Arabidopsis thaliana: one gene and its partner. The protein of the gene in region 2 binds, or shares a complex with, the protein of the main gene of each other region. Each region holds a gene or a part of one and is shown on either strand. Other genes may lie near its edges. The genes, in order: AT3G62790 and MEE4. A codon is read from its position in the direction of its gene.

Region 1 (6,757 bases), on a different chromosome or scaffold from region 2:
GACAAGGAACGTGGTTGTAACTAAACGATCCAACACTTGGTAGCAACTGACTCAACACGGGTCCGTTCAACTGGCTCAACACGGGTCCCTGCAACTGACTCAACACGGGACCATTCAACTGACTCAACACGGGACCGTTCAACTGGCTCAACACGGGTCCGTTCAACTGACTCAACATGGGTCCGTTCAAAACGGGCCGGTAGGTCGATACAGGACGCACCGGCGCTTGAGCTGCGTACCGTGAGCAGCCGCCACCGGTCGGGACCTCCACCGGACCTGTGAACGAATAAGTGAAACTAATATCGGCTTTGGATTTCCCGATTTGATATGTGACGTATCTTTGACCGGTCTTATCGTTTCCAAGATGATCCAGAAGTTCTTTCACCTGAACATGAACCTCGCCGATGTCTTTATCTACTCCTCCACGTTGCTCGCACTTGATCTTGAAAGTGATCACAAGGCGGTTAGCCTCTGCTAAGTTTTGGTCGAGGATGAACTTCATGACATCATTGCTCCATTTGGGGCTGGTTCCACCGTCTCTTGCCGCTTGTGTCCGCTGCTCACGGTGGTCAGAGCATTTTGGATCACCGGATAACTTCACGGCCACAAAAACATCCATCTTCGACACTTTCTTAAGCCCTTTTGCTGATGTCACATTTATTTCTAGAGATCTCGTCCCCATTTTGATATTACCCAATGAAAAAGCTGGTTCTCTCTAGACACATTACATATAGGAGTTGCAGAGAAGACTAAGTGAAAGTCAATGACAACTATTTATAGAGGACCTTTTCATTATTCCACCCACTGTTCTGTTTTTAATGTCTCTCGAATAATGATTTTAATATAACTGTAGGAGTAATTATTACCATTAAAGAAGGAGTCTGTGTTTGACGAGTAGCCAAAGGCATATTACAACTCGGTCAAAGGTAATAGACAAAGCAAAGACAAAAAAATCCATTGCAAAAGCAAACTGAATACGATCAAATGAAGTTTGGCACACAAGATACAGAAATCTTCAAGAAACTTTTGTTTATTCTTCGAAAGATGCAAACTTTGGAGATAGGAGGAAAATCTCGACTAGTGATGAGTATGAGTCCCATCCCCGGTTTCTTCGCCTTTCCTTGATGCAGCTCTTAGTTTACGTTGTTCTTCTTTGTATATCCTGTTTCTTCGTTGGAACTAGATCAAAATACACAAATATGCGCTCCTTATCAGTTCATCTACCATAGGCTTATACTAAGCAAAGAAGAAAGAAACAATATTGGAGACAACAATAATAAAGCTTTTGATTCCCTCAAAAGTTCACACGCAAGCCTATACATTCAGTTTCATTCAAATTTATGATTTCAACACATAGAGAAGAGAGACAATATCGTTCCATTTGAAAGATCAAACAGAGACAAGAGATAAAGAGTAAGTCTCAACTTCCAAACTTAACAGCTAAACAATTCATGGCCATGAAACTAAATCTCAGATAAGGGAAGTGGTATTATATTAACCTAATCCCTACAAGCAACCTAGTGAAAGCATCCACATATATACTTGGGAGATTGCAATTCAACTTTTCTAGTTTCAAGCAAAAAGAAAGCTTATGTTTTTATACATGTAGCAAACGAAACGACCAGACTGAGAGATTGTTCCAACGGATCTAGGAATGACTTAAACTCGTGATCCAGAAACTATCGATGATCGTACAGACGACCGATAACAGGACGAATCATCAATGAAACAGATCAAGCAATCAAAAGCGTGAATTGATGACACATACAACAACACAGGAACGATAATTGAAAGAAACCCTAAAAAAAGGAAAAAGGCGAAACCTAACCTCTTTGGAATGGTGAAGACACTCGAGGTAGTCTTCACGAAGAAGAGTACAGTCTTTGGGCTCTCTGCAATGAGACATACATTCGCTGAAATCCATCCAGAAATCGTAACACCTCCCTTTGTTTCCCGTTATCCCCCACCCCGACGCCATTTTTCCTTCCTCTCTCTCTAATCCCAGGAGAAATTTAGTCGTCTTCTTCGCCTGATTTCCGAGGATCCGATCTATTCAGGTTAATCCAATTAGAACCCGAAATAAATGTGCCTTTATATTATGGGCTTTAACGTAAACACTTCATGGGCCCAACTTTGAGATATCAATTCCTGTAATTACGTTAGTGTGAAGGTAATTATTACCAGAATTTTACCCGTTCCTTAACATTAAGCAGGAATTGTTGTTACTTTGTTACTAGGCTTTTAATAGTTTAATAAAATTTAGTCTGCTGTCGAAAAAAAAAAAGTGCAAAAGTTCCTTTATGTTTGACTTGTTGGTGGATTAGAATTTCAAACCCCTGATTTAGCAGTTCTTAATGGCCATTACGGACTATATATGATAGTAATTTATATGTCATATATAATGTTATATATTTTATATATAAAACATTTAATTAAATATGACTTTAGTTTTTTTTTAAAGAATTATATTAATTTTTGGTAAAGTTTAATTCTAGTATTTTTACGGTATTAAAAAATGTTTGGGTTGTTTTTTCAAATTTAATAGTTAATTTTCCACTTTTAAAGAAAACAATTGCTTTTCATTGTTTTGGAGAAGGTAGTTCACGCCCATGGCTGTTTCTAAGCTAGGGAATCTTTTCTTATGTGAGAGTGAGAAAAGGTTGTTCAAATATTACCCAGAGACAGACTACCTTTGTTGCCTCTCCAGACTTTTGTGTTATAACTTCTTTCGTCGAAAATTTAGTCTCACTTCGTTCCAGGCCCGACTCAATATTATTTTGGGTTCTGTGCTAAAAAAAAAAATATCCCCTTTAAACCTTTAAATCCAAAAAATTTTAGTTTACGTGGCAGTGTTTACTGTCTCTTGTAAACGTAATACACTTGTAGTTCTATTCAACCATTGTAATTTTATCTAGAAAAATAAAAATTCCTATAAATTAGGACCCTAAAATTTAAGAGAGAAAATAAGGACTCTGTGCCTTGGCACTGCTGGCACACCCTGCTTCGTTCACAACCAGGATCTGTTCGGAAAATCAGCACTTGTGGGTACCAATATGGACTTAGCTATGTACAACCTGAATGTCTTCCGAAAATCATCAGCACATCTCCGCACCGGTCTCGAATATCTAATATCGTGATGGAATTGCTGTTCCCAAATATTTTGCTTACCTCTACTCTAGTGTCTCTAATTATATTCGGTTATCGTTACAAATATTCTACTTGAAGCGGTTACTTATCTAGCTGGTTTTGCTTATGTCTACATCTTACTATTTAATATTTATTCTGTTAAGCTTTTCCATAATCTATTAACATTTAATCTCGCCTTGTTTCTAATAAACACAATGCTTTAAAACAAAAATTAGTCATTACACAGTATACATACTACATAGCATATTGCTTAAGAAAACCAGAGACGAGAAGCATTCTATTTCTACAAACAGATGAGATATAGCTTACCTTAACATTCTATCTCTACACTTATTATGCATCAAAGATGATGATGTCGTTATGGCTTCACAAGACGATAGGCTATAAATTTATCATCTCTAAAGAGCATCTCCGCGTCTTGAGGAAGAGTTATCTCGGGGTTCCATGGGCGACAAACTACATGTTGGCCAGTTGGTATACTCAGGTGGCCAGTTCCCATTATGAGCTTCTTTTTCTCACTCTCATCTACTACACATGATGATGTTTCACTACCATCGTTTGTGGGATTCTGAGGCATCCACGAAGAACAAGCAGCAATGTTCCTCTTGATACCATTGGCAGCTGGTGCATTAAGAGTAATAACGTTTGTAGGATTGTGAGGTATAGGCAAAGAAGAAGAAGCAATGTTCATCTTCATACCATCAGTAGTTAGTGCACTAAGAGTACCATCGTTTGTAGGATTCTCAGGCTCATTCAAAGCAACGTTAATCTCCTTAGCATTACTGGCTGGTGCATCATGAAGATCTGGAAATTCTGCACAGAATCAAGACTGTAGAGCATGAGTTTTGAATGAATTAACCATCTTGACCATTTAGCATTAAACTGAAATTGGAATCCATTTCATGCAGTTAAAGTAAGGTTGGCTTTCTTATTTCATAGCTGTTTCCTACCTATCTCAGGAAAATACGTCCCTCTGATTGGACCACAAGTTATAACAAAGAAAGAGAGTTTTTCCTTTAACAAACAAACCAACGGATTATTCATGTAGTGTAGTATTCAAAGAAAACTAACCATCTTCATTCACTTTAATCCCCTTTGATGGGGTATCAGGGGTCATCACCACCTTGGAAGAAGGTTGAGAATGGATCTCTTGTGGACTGCTCTTCACATTTGAATTTACATCTTCTTGTCTCTCACTAGGCAAAGTAGGCGATCCGGTCTGGTTCGAGTTCCCATTTTTGATACTCATGAATGCAACTTTAGCAGCGCTCATTTCAGCCAACTTTTTGGTTTTCGCCTCTTCTCCACTGAAAACTTTACCAGCAAACTCAACAGTTGAAGTAAAAGTAGGCGCATGCGATGGACCAGATGTAGCAGTTGCATAAAATGGTAACAGAGAACTCTCTTTCTGTGCAATTTCTTGTAACAGGTTCTTGTAGGCAACATCAATTCCCTGAAACAACAAAAATTTGAAAATCAAAATTTAAACAAATGTTGAAAAAGCACATAACTTGTAGTCCAAAAAGAGTGTGAGGAACTAGCCTCTGGACTTTGTGGCGTCAAAGAAGCAACTGCAATTTTTGCAGCGGCATGTTCAGCCGATTTTAGTGTCGGAAAGAATTCAGAGCTCTGGAAAGTCTGTCCACAGAATGTAACATTACATCTAAATCTAGGAGCATGAGGAGGCCCTTCTCTCTCATTCGCATACACTGGTAGCTCCAGATTATGTTGCAGGGCATACGCTTGCAGTTGACCTTTGTATACATGATCCATCTCTATCTAAACTGGCAGGAATTAACCAAACATAAAGAGATCAACGTGTATCAGAATTTCTCAAACATAAATGGCAAACGAAGAGACGAATTTCAGATTTCAGAATTGGTCAACCAAACATAAAGAGATCAACATGACAACATGTATCAGAATTTCTCAAACATAAATGGCAAACGAAGAGACGAATTTCAGAATTGGTCAGACTCAATGATCTAGGGTTTCGTACAGATCGATAACATCAAAACAGCGAAAGGAATCTACGATTATAAACACAAAATCGTACCTCTTTGAAATGGTGAAGACACTTCGAGGGAGGAAGTGAACAATCAGACAAAGCATTCGCTGATTGAAACTCATCGAGAAACCATAATAAGTATACACATGTAAATTGTCTCAAGGATACGAAAGATTCGGGTTAACCCAGCTTGAACGGGTATGATCCGAAATAATCCATTAATGGGCCAAAATTGGGCTTATTCATGAAAGTTGTAAAGGCCCAATGAAACTCGAAGTTGATCAGAAGGTTGTCGGCGACCAAATTTCTAAATCCAATTTTGGGAGGGAGACGACGGCGGAGGTTGAAAGGGGAAAGAGCAGAAATGGTGACCGGAGAAGCGTTGATCGCGTACAGAGCACTGCTCAGGGCAACAAAGAAATCATTCGCCGGAGATACCGAGATGCTAAAAGCTTCGGCGTCCGAGATCCGTAAGAAATTCGAAGAGAATCGCCTCGTGGCTTCTAACTCCGACATCACTCGCCTTCTAGAAGAGGCGCGTGAAGCGACGCAGTTCATTTCCACCATGATCGTCCAGGCTAAACTCAACGAACGCGGCGGATATGGTTCGTTCTGACTCTTTTTATCTTGCGCACCATCTGTTTGTTGAAATGCGTGAGTGAAAGCTCATATCTTTGGAAATTTGATTTTTCTGTGTCGTAGAGATGAAAGCAAGTCAGGAACACGCGGGAGCTACTTTGGAGCTTCCATCAGAGGAGATGCTTCGGAAAAAATCTGTATGAGTGTAAGTCTGAAATTGGATTACTTCTCCCTTACTCGTTTTGTTTGATCGGGAAAGGTGGATCCTTTTTATGCTTCTCTGTTTGTTTTCTCTTTTCACGGCCAAGTTGAATCAATAAGAAGCTCTTTACATACATTTTTGGATGAGATTCGTCCATTTCAAAACAAGAATTACAGAATTCACTTACATCCATGGCTAATATTGATTATGTTGTATGTTAGACTGTAGACCTCACTTTTCTACTTTTCTTAGAAGCATTGTCTTGTCGTAGAGACCCATCTTTTGTGTCATTCTCAAATCTTAGAAGCCTTGTCTTGTCGTAGAGACCCATCTTTTGTATCATTTTCAAATCCATGTCACTTTTATTGTTAGATTGAAATATAATTATTTCCTACATAAGCTTAGGTTTCGTCATCTATCTAGATTTCCTTGTCCCCGATTGTTTCACAGAGTCTGATGGGAAGTTTGAAATAGAGTTGACGCGAGAAGATTGAAGCCGTGATGGTCACTCTAGTTTTTCAAACCAATAAAATAGAACCTATATTGTTGATACGGGGTCCGAGAAGTATGGTTCATTTTCCAATGAAAACCACTACACAATCTGTCAAGATTTACCCCCATTCATGAGTGTCCACAGCATTTGCTCAGAAGTCCTTTTTTATCATCTCCATTCATGATTTTAAGTTCAGAGTTCTAGCTTTCTCTTATTAGTGTCTCAGTCATCTTCTCGCTGGTGTGCAATCCTTAGATTCTTGTGTTGAAGAGCATTGTTTCATAGGAATCATGTGAATCGTCATAACCACATATACTTTGTTCTCTCA
Region 2 (6,660 bases):
TCAGTCTCATATATTGCAACAAGTCTCTATGCAAGCTAACACAAAGGCAGTCTTCCTATGCAAGCTCTTTAGCACATCATTCAGATTATCTGATCGAACTACATACATGGCCACTAACACATAGTCACATACTAACCATCTCCTAACTTGTATTGGTTAAAACGCTCAATTTATAACACCACAACATCGACAAGAAATCGAGAGTAACAACTAAAACATGCTTCCACGACTCTCTATGATTCTACAAATAAACAACAGAGACTACAATAGCATTACTCTAGTTACAAGCAGAACCTAGACAACATAACAAAAGCCAATTCTTGATTCAGAACAAGGAATGATGACTAACTCAAAATGATTGTCAAAGAAACCCATTTCAATACTCTAAAATTGGAAAGCATCAATATAGCAAATGATCATAAGTGGCTGATACAAGGTCCAAAGCATGGATTACGAGAAGAAAACAAAAAATCCACCTTCTTCTTCTTCTTTTGTCTTTTTAGCCTCTGTTTGTTTCTGTTCCTCTCTTACAAAAAGAACTCACCGATCACGAGAACGTCAAAGCTCGATGATCACCATCCATTTTCACCACCGTCAGAACCGTCGGAACTGTAACTCGGTGATCACACCATCAATGATCTCGCCACCGTTTGTCTCTCTGTTTTCTTGCGTTTCACGATCTCTCTAGCAAATCATGGCGGATCTCACCGAGAGTCCCAAGTATTGACGCAAACCACGCGCCGTTGTCACGAGACTCAGGTATGTTGCTTCTCGCTTAAATTCCTATTTGATCTCTTGGAACCTTGGATTTTTAATATTTAGTTTCTGCACAAAAAAGGTCTCTTTGAATTAGGTCAATCAATATTTAGTTTTCTAACCGCAATTTCATCGGAGGAACTAGGGTTTGATCTTGTAGTTTTTTTTTTTTTCCTCAAACATCAGCTTTATTAATAATTTGCTGTAGCAAAGTCGCGATGTAAAAAATCAGTTATTACAAACGGGATATAGTTATAGCAATAAAACTGAGTGTTCAAAGGAAGTTGTTGTTTTGCCAGAGCATCTGCAGCCATGTTTGAAAATCGCCTTGTCCAAGTAAACTTGCATTCTTCAAATTTTGATCTCCAAGCGCTTATATCTCTTATCCAATTAAAAACTGCAAAATTTGAAGACCGACCATTGACAATCTCTGAGACTTCTTTATTGTCACCTTCAAAGTAAATTTTCCTATAGCCCCTACTCCAACAATGTTGCATGGCCATGACTAAAGCTTGGAGTTCACTTTCCATCGGATTGGTAGTAATAGAGCCTATAGCATGAGCTGCACCTAGAAAGGTTCCTCGATCATCCCGTAAGAGCCAACCCGCTTTACTCGGAGCGTTGCTGTGGTAAGTGCCGTCATAGTTGCATTTCGTCCAACCAATAGGGGGTGTTGTCCAGAGATTAGCTGTTGGTTCTTGTGACGTTACTCTGTCAGGTTTTGATGATAAACGGTGGGTGTACTCTTCTGCATCTTGCCATTCTTTGGCGTCTTGTCTTGCATATCGGAGAGAAGCTTCCCATGGAATGATCTTGTAGTTTAGTTTTACAAAATTGACCTAAAATTGGTGGATAATGTTACGACAGAGCTACACTAGGACTTTGGAATGGGCTTTGCTGTATGAGGCCTTCGTTACACTAGGACTTTCTTCATTCTAACTTTTTTTCTTCTTTTCTTTAAAAATTATTTTAACCAAAACTAAAACTTTCACTAAAACATTTAAATAAATAATTTTTTAAAGGTTTTTTATAAATACTAAATTAATATGACGTTGTGAAATCTAACCGGATTTTTGATCCCGCCATTTAACCGTGGTCATTAGCGATTCCATAAATCCAACATATTTTTCACATCTTCATGTATATTTAGCATTTATTTTTTGTTTTCTTTTCTTAAAAGTTTTTCAAATTTTTTTTGATTTTTTTAAAAGTTTTAATAAATACTAAATTAATATAACGTTGTGAAATCTAACCAGATTTTGGATCCCGCCATTTAACCGTGGTCATTAGCGATTCCACAAATCCAACATGTTTTTCACATCTTCATGTATATTTAGCATTTAATTATTTTTATTTTATTTTTTTAAAAATGTTTTCAACTCTCTTTTTTTTTCCTTTTTCTTTTTTTTAAAAGATTTTATAAATACTAAATTAATATGACGTTGTGAAATCTAACCGGATTTTGGATCCCGCCATTTAACCATGGTCATTAACGATTTCACAAATCTAACATATTTTTCTCATTTTCATGTACTATATTTAGCATTTAATTTTATTTATTTTCTGAAAAGGTTTTACTCTTTTTTTCATTTTCAAGAACTCTTGTTTTCAAAATTTTATTGTTTTGGATATTAAATTCACATATAATTATATATGATTTGGTTCGATTTCACTCGGTAAGCTTTTTCGAATATTTTTCACCTGGAGCTGTCAAATAAGCCAATTTCTTGCAGCTTGCTGATGAATCATGAAACTGTTTTTGCCTCATATTACGATTGAAACACTTAAGAGAAAACCAATACAAGAAGAATACTGTCTGTTGAATCATTCTCTTATTACCCGAAGAAAAAAAGATATAACAAGAACATATCAATCCTCAGCGAAACATCATTCATCATCATCATATGCATTTGAGAGAAACTAGGAAATCACCACACATCAGGACGGAGTTCCCCAGTAGCCGGAGGCATCCAGCGACCAGAATTGTACACATTCTCGCCAACTTTCCATCCCGGAACATCTTTCATTACATCAGCCTCATATTCCAGATACTTTTTCCACTCAGACACAAACCTAGAATGCAAAACGGGGATTGAAACAAGATTGCTATCTGAAGGTTGCTGCAGGCACATTGACTTAAATTTGAGAATATGGTTTACCTTTCATCTTCTTCTGCTTGAAGAATGGGAAGTATTGTTCTACGAGCAGCATATTTCTCTTCCTTCAATGCCCTAAACATCACATCAATCTTGATAAGAGCATTAATCTTGATACTTACTGATATCAAATCAGACTTGTTTAGGACCATTGTAAATGCATAAGAAGTTAATGATCAAGCCAGATATAATACTAAAACAATCTATCTACATAGAAACAGTATCCCGATAACTACTATCAAAACATGCAACTAGATAATTGCTTTCATCATAACAGATTCTCACATCTTTGCAATTGTGGCTTTAAGAGTTTACAAATTGTTGACGAACTTTATATTCGTTTAAGGCTAAACTCATGCTGATTAAGCTTCAACCAAAATGTCGGGGAATACTAATAACAGAATACATAACAGTGATTCAACAAGCCTATGTTTCCATAGGTTAATAATATTAACCAATTCCTACGATAAACATACTCAAGTTTCAACAATTATTAACCAAAATGTATCCTTCACTACATTACTATGGTCATCAATCACTCCACAACACTAATTTTACCAAGGCGATCTCGAATTTTAGAGGAAAAATTGAAATGTGAACGAGCTATTACAAGTCGTTCTTACCTGCGGATTTTGTTTCCCTGGCCGACCTGGTACATTCCCCAAGCAAAGGCACCAGAAACGGCAAGGAACATGGCCATTGCACTAGGACCCGTATTGGATATCCGGCGGGCATATCGGACCGGTGCGAACCCACCCGGTGGCGGACCATCCTGAAGCAGCGGCATATCCTTCACACTCGCCATTCCTGGCTTATTTCTTATCATCGCCTCCGTCATCTTCAACGCTCAATTTCTTCTCGACCAAATTGACTTTTGATCACTGAATCCGATTTGATTTTGCTGAAATCGAGTGTTCTAGGGATTCCGATGAACAACGAAGGGAACGTTGGAGATTAACTAGGCTAGGACCATATAACTAAGCCCATTAGTTAGCAAATCACGGAGTCGTATGAGATGAAATGGGCTATAACTAAGCCCATTTCAGATATGTTCAAAGACCCAAGTCCATAAGTAAGCAAGTCACGTGGAGTCACGTGATTATCTTCTTCTTCTTCTTACATATAAAATGCCCTAACTACATGTTCAGAATATCTTTAGCCGCCGACTTGGTATCATCAAATCGAGGAGATTCGAAGAAGCATGGTGGGATTTAAGAACAGATACATGTTAATGGAAGTTTTTCTGGATCCGGACAAGGATCTTCTCGGAGAAGGAACACCGATCATTCTTACACAATTCAATCTCTCGAAAGCAATCAAAGACAGTATCCTCGTCAATTTCGGCGAGTGTGGTCTAGGTTCGTCTCTCGGTTCCTTCCAAGTGAAATATGTGAATCCAATCACGAAGCTATGCATTGTAAGATCATCAAGAGAAGAACACAGACAAGTTTGGTTAGCAATCACATTGGTCAAAAGCATCGGAAACTGTCCGGTGATCTTAAACTTGCTCGATATTAGCGGTTGCATCAGAGCGTGTAGAGACACAGCCTTGAAGTGCGACAAGGAGAAGTTTGAGCAGTGTAGCAAAAGCTTGTCTGAAGAGGAGATTAGGCAGATGAATACTTCTCTTGAGAAGATCAAACTATTGGAAAACTGAAACTTTTCTAGACCTTTTTTCCTTCGAATTTGACCCCTAAGTTTTGAAATTGTACAATCTTTGTATTTTTCTTAATTCTGAAATACAAAGGGATAAGAAACAGCATCATTCCCTGAAAAGATTGTTTGCGATTTGAATCACTGGGTTTTTATATGTTGGAATTAAAATAAGAGGGTGTGAATTGTTGAGATATGTTCTAGATAAGGCGTAATTCTGTGAAAATTGAAAACTTAAGGGTACAAGTGCAAAGTCGTTGAATTTTGAAGCTTTTAATAAATCCAAAATTTCTAATCTGGAGAGAACCTATCTCTGAGGTCCAAACTCTTCGGTGGAGGAGAAGAACTGAAACGGTAATCTAGCTCTTCAAAGCCTCTTACTTTACCGATTACTTGCTCTTGTACCATGTATACGATCATTTATATGGGTTTTTATCGGTTACGGTAATCCTCCGTGTCTTTTTCTTTGTGTATGCATGTTAAGTGTTCGATAAAATACCTCAAAGACCTGGTACCAAAAACTATTCATAGGGTTTGTATCCTAGCTCCTCAGATTTTTATTCCTAATTTTAGGTTTGCTGCCTTTGGAAATTTTTTGTTGTGTTAGTCATGCTTTTAGACCCCCATCAGTAGTATTAAGTTTGTGTGGAAAAAAAGGTCGTGTTTGGAATCTTCCTATATAACCTAAGTAGTTAGAGATAAAGTGATCAATTATGGAGTCTGTGTTAATGTGCAGGAAATGAGATCCCCTAGAACCTTGGAGGTTTGGAAGCTAGGCACTGTCAACTATTTGAAATCCCTTAAACTGCAGGAGAAATTAGTTTCAGAGAGAAAAGCTCATCAGATTCCAGATACCCTCCTCTCGCTTCAGCATCCACCAACTTATACGCTCGGAAAGCGTAGAACCGATCACAATCTACTTATCCCTGAATCTGAACTTACAAAAATCGGAGCTGAACTTCATTATACTCAAAGAGGAGGAGACATCACCTTCCATGGCCCTCATCAAGCCATCTTATATCCCATCATTTCCTTACGCAGCATTGGTTTTGGTGCTAGGAACTACGTGGAGACATTGGAGCGGTCAATGATCGAGTTTGCTTCGATTTATGGCGTGAAAGCTCGAGCAGGAAACAAATGTGAGACTGGGGTTTGGGTTGGGGATAGGAAGATCGGTGCTATTGGGGTTAGGATATCTTCTGGAATCACTAGTCATGGTTTGGCCTTAAATATAGATCCTGATATGAAGTACTTTGAGCACATTGTGCCTTGTGGGATTGCTGATAAAGAAGTTACATCTTTGCGAAGAGAGACGGATACTCTGCTTCCTTCAGAAGAAGTGATTCATGAACAGTTGGTTTCTTGTTTAGCCAAAGCGTTTTCTTATGATGATGTTGTCTGGAAGGAAGATCCTTCACTCATTTTGGACACCCAAGATAAAGAATAATCCGGTTTGATCCGGTTTTGATTTATTGTCTACAAAAAATGTTATTATTTTTTGACGTGATGTGGATTTCTGATATTGTCTTATTCATTCTCAAATTTTCATTAAAATCAGTCATATGAAAGTATTTCTAAGGAAAACATTTATGCTCTTTACCAAGCCTGCAAGCACCATCAGCTTTGACAGTCCAATTACATAGATAACATACATCTTGATCTCTGAAAGCATCAAATATCTCAAACTGTTTGAATTGCTTTTCCTATTTAACAAAATGAGTTGGGTCAACCCATGAAGCCTAAACTCATTGGTAATGAGTTGTGTTGAATTGGGTTAACCATTTTGACATCCTTAGTGAGAAGAGTATGCAACAACAAACCTTAAGAGAGAAAACCAGTGAAGATAACGAATAATTCTCGGTTTACTCCGGTTTTGTGTCTACCAAAATATGTTTGTTTCTTACTCTAAGCATTCCGATGTCAATGAGTATCTTTAAGAAACAAATCTTTAAATAGTAAGAAATGCATAAATATTCTGTTTATTGATTTTATTGAATTTGAATATATATATATATATATATATATATCTTCATCATCGCAGGAGTACAAACTTACTTCCAAGGAAAACATTTCGCCTTTTTACCGAGCCTGCATG

Evidence for each region.
Region 1: the proteins of MEE4 (region 2) and AT3G62790 are in contact, whole or in part, in a cryo-EM structure (PDB 7AQQ), measured with the Arabidopsis thaliana proteins. Residues at the interface, in NP_171957.2 of Arabidopsis thaliana: Tyr104 (codon at 2,807), Tyr107 (codon at 2,798), Glu108 (codon at 2,795), Asp110 (codon at 2,789), Val111 (codon at 2,786), Met112 (codon at 2,783), Lys113 (codon at 2,780), Asp114 (codon at 2,777), Val115 (codon at 2,774), Trp118 (codon at 2,765), Gly121 (codon at 2,756), Glu122 (codon at 2,753), Val124 (codon at 2,747), Tyr125 (codon at 2,744), Asn126 (codon at 2,741), Ser127 (codon at 2,738), Arg129 (codon at 2,732), Met131 (codon at 2,726), Pro132 (codon at 2,723), Pro133 (codon at 2,720), Ala134 (codon at 2,717), Thr135 (codon at 2,714), Arg139 (codon at 2,702); in NP_191838.1 of Arabidopsis thaliana: Ile7 (codon at 1,960), Thr8 (codon at 1,957), Arg13 (codon at 1,942), Asp16 (codon at 1,933), Phe17 (codon at 1,930), Leu36 (codon at 1,873), Leu37 (codon at 1,870), Glu39 (codon at 1,864), Asp40 (codon at 1,861), Glu43 (codon at 1,852), Cys44 (codon at 1,849), His47 (codon at 1,840), Lys49 (codon at 1,834), Glu50 (codon at 1,831), Phe51 (codon at 1,179), Arg53 (codon at 1,173), Arg54 (codon at 1,170), Arg56 (codon at 1,164), Ile57 (codon at 1,161), Glu60 (codon at 1,152), Glu61 (codon at 1,149), Lys64 (codon at 1,140).

What each region holds. Positions count from the first base shown.
Region 1 is NC_003074.8:23,222,244-23,229,000, forward strand, and holds AT3G62790 (NADH-ubiquinone oxidoreductase-like protein), read right to left. Parts: upstream 2,084-6,757; 5' UTR 1,979-2,083; coding exon 1,829-1,978; intron 1,180-1,828; coding exon 1,078-1,179; 3' UTR 787-1,077; downstream 1-786. Other genes in the region: AT3G62780 (Calcium-dependent lipid-binding (CaLB domain) family protein), read right to left, coding at 1-682; DRB4 (double-stranded-RNA-binding protein 4), read right to left, coding at 3,506-3,960, 4,219-4,600, 4,690-4,920; AT3G62810 (complex 1 family protein / LVR family protein), read left to right, coding at 5,520-5,760, 5,858-5,937. UniProt on the Arabidopsis thaliana protein: Accessory subunit of the mitochondrial membrane respiratory chain NADH dehydrogenase (Complex I), that is believed not to be involved in catalysis. Complex I functions in the transfer of electrons from NADH to the respiratory chain.
Region 2 is NC_003070.9:1,287,237-1,293,896, forward strand, and holds MEE4 (GRIM-19 protein), read right to left. Parts: upstream 3,877-6,660; 5' UTR 3,751-3,876; coding exon 3,536-3,750; intron 2,988-3,535; coding exon 2,916-2,987; intron 2,830-2,915; coding exon 2,685-2,829; 3' UTR 2,585-2,684; downstream 1-2,584. Other genes in the region: AT1G04625 (Polynucleotidyl transferase, ribonuclease H-like superfamily protein), read right to left, coding at 595-684, 996-1,552, 2,458-2,584; EMB1687 (ribonuclease P family protein / Rpp14 family protein), read left to right, coding at 4,114-4,569; LIP2 (lipoyltransferase 2), read left to right, coding at 5,305-6,012; AT1G04645 (Plant self-incompatibility protein S1 family), read right to left, coding at 6,617-6,660.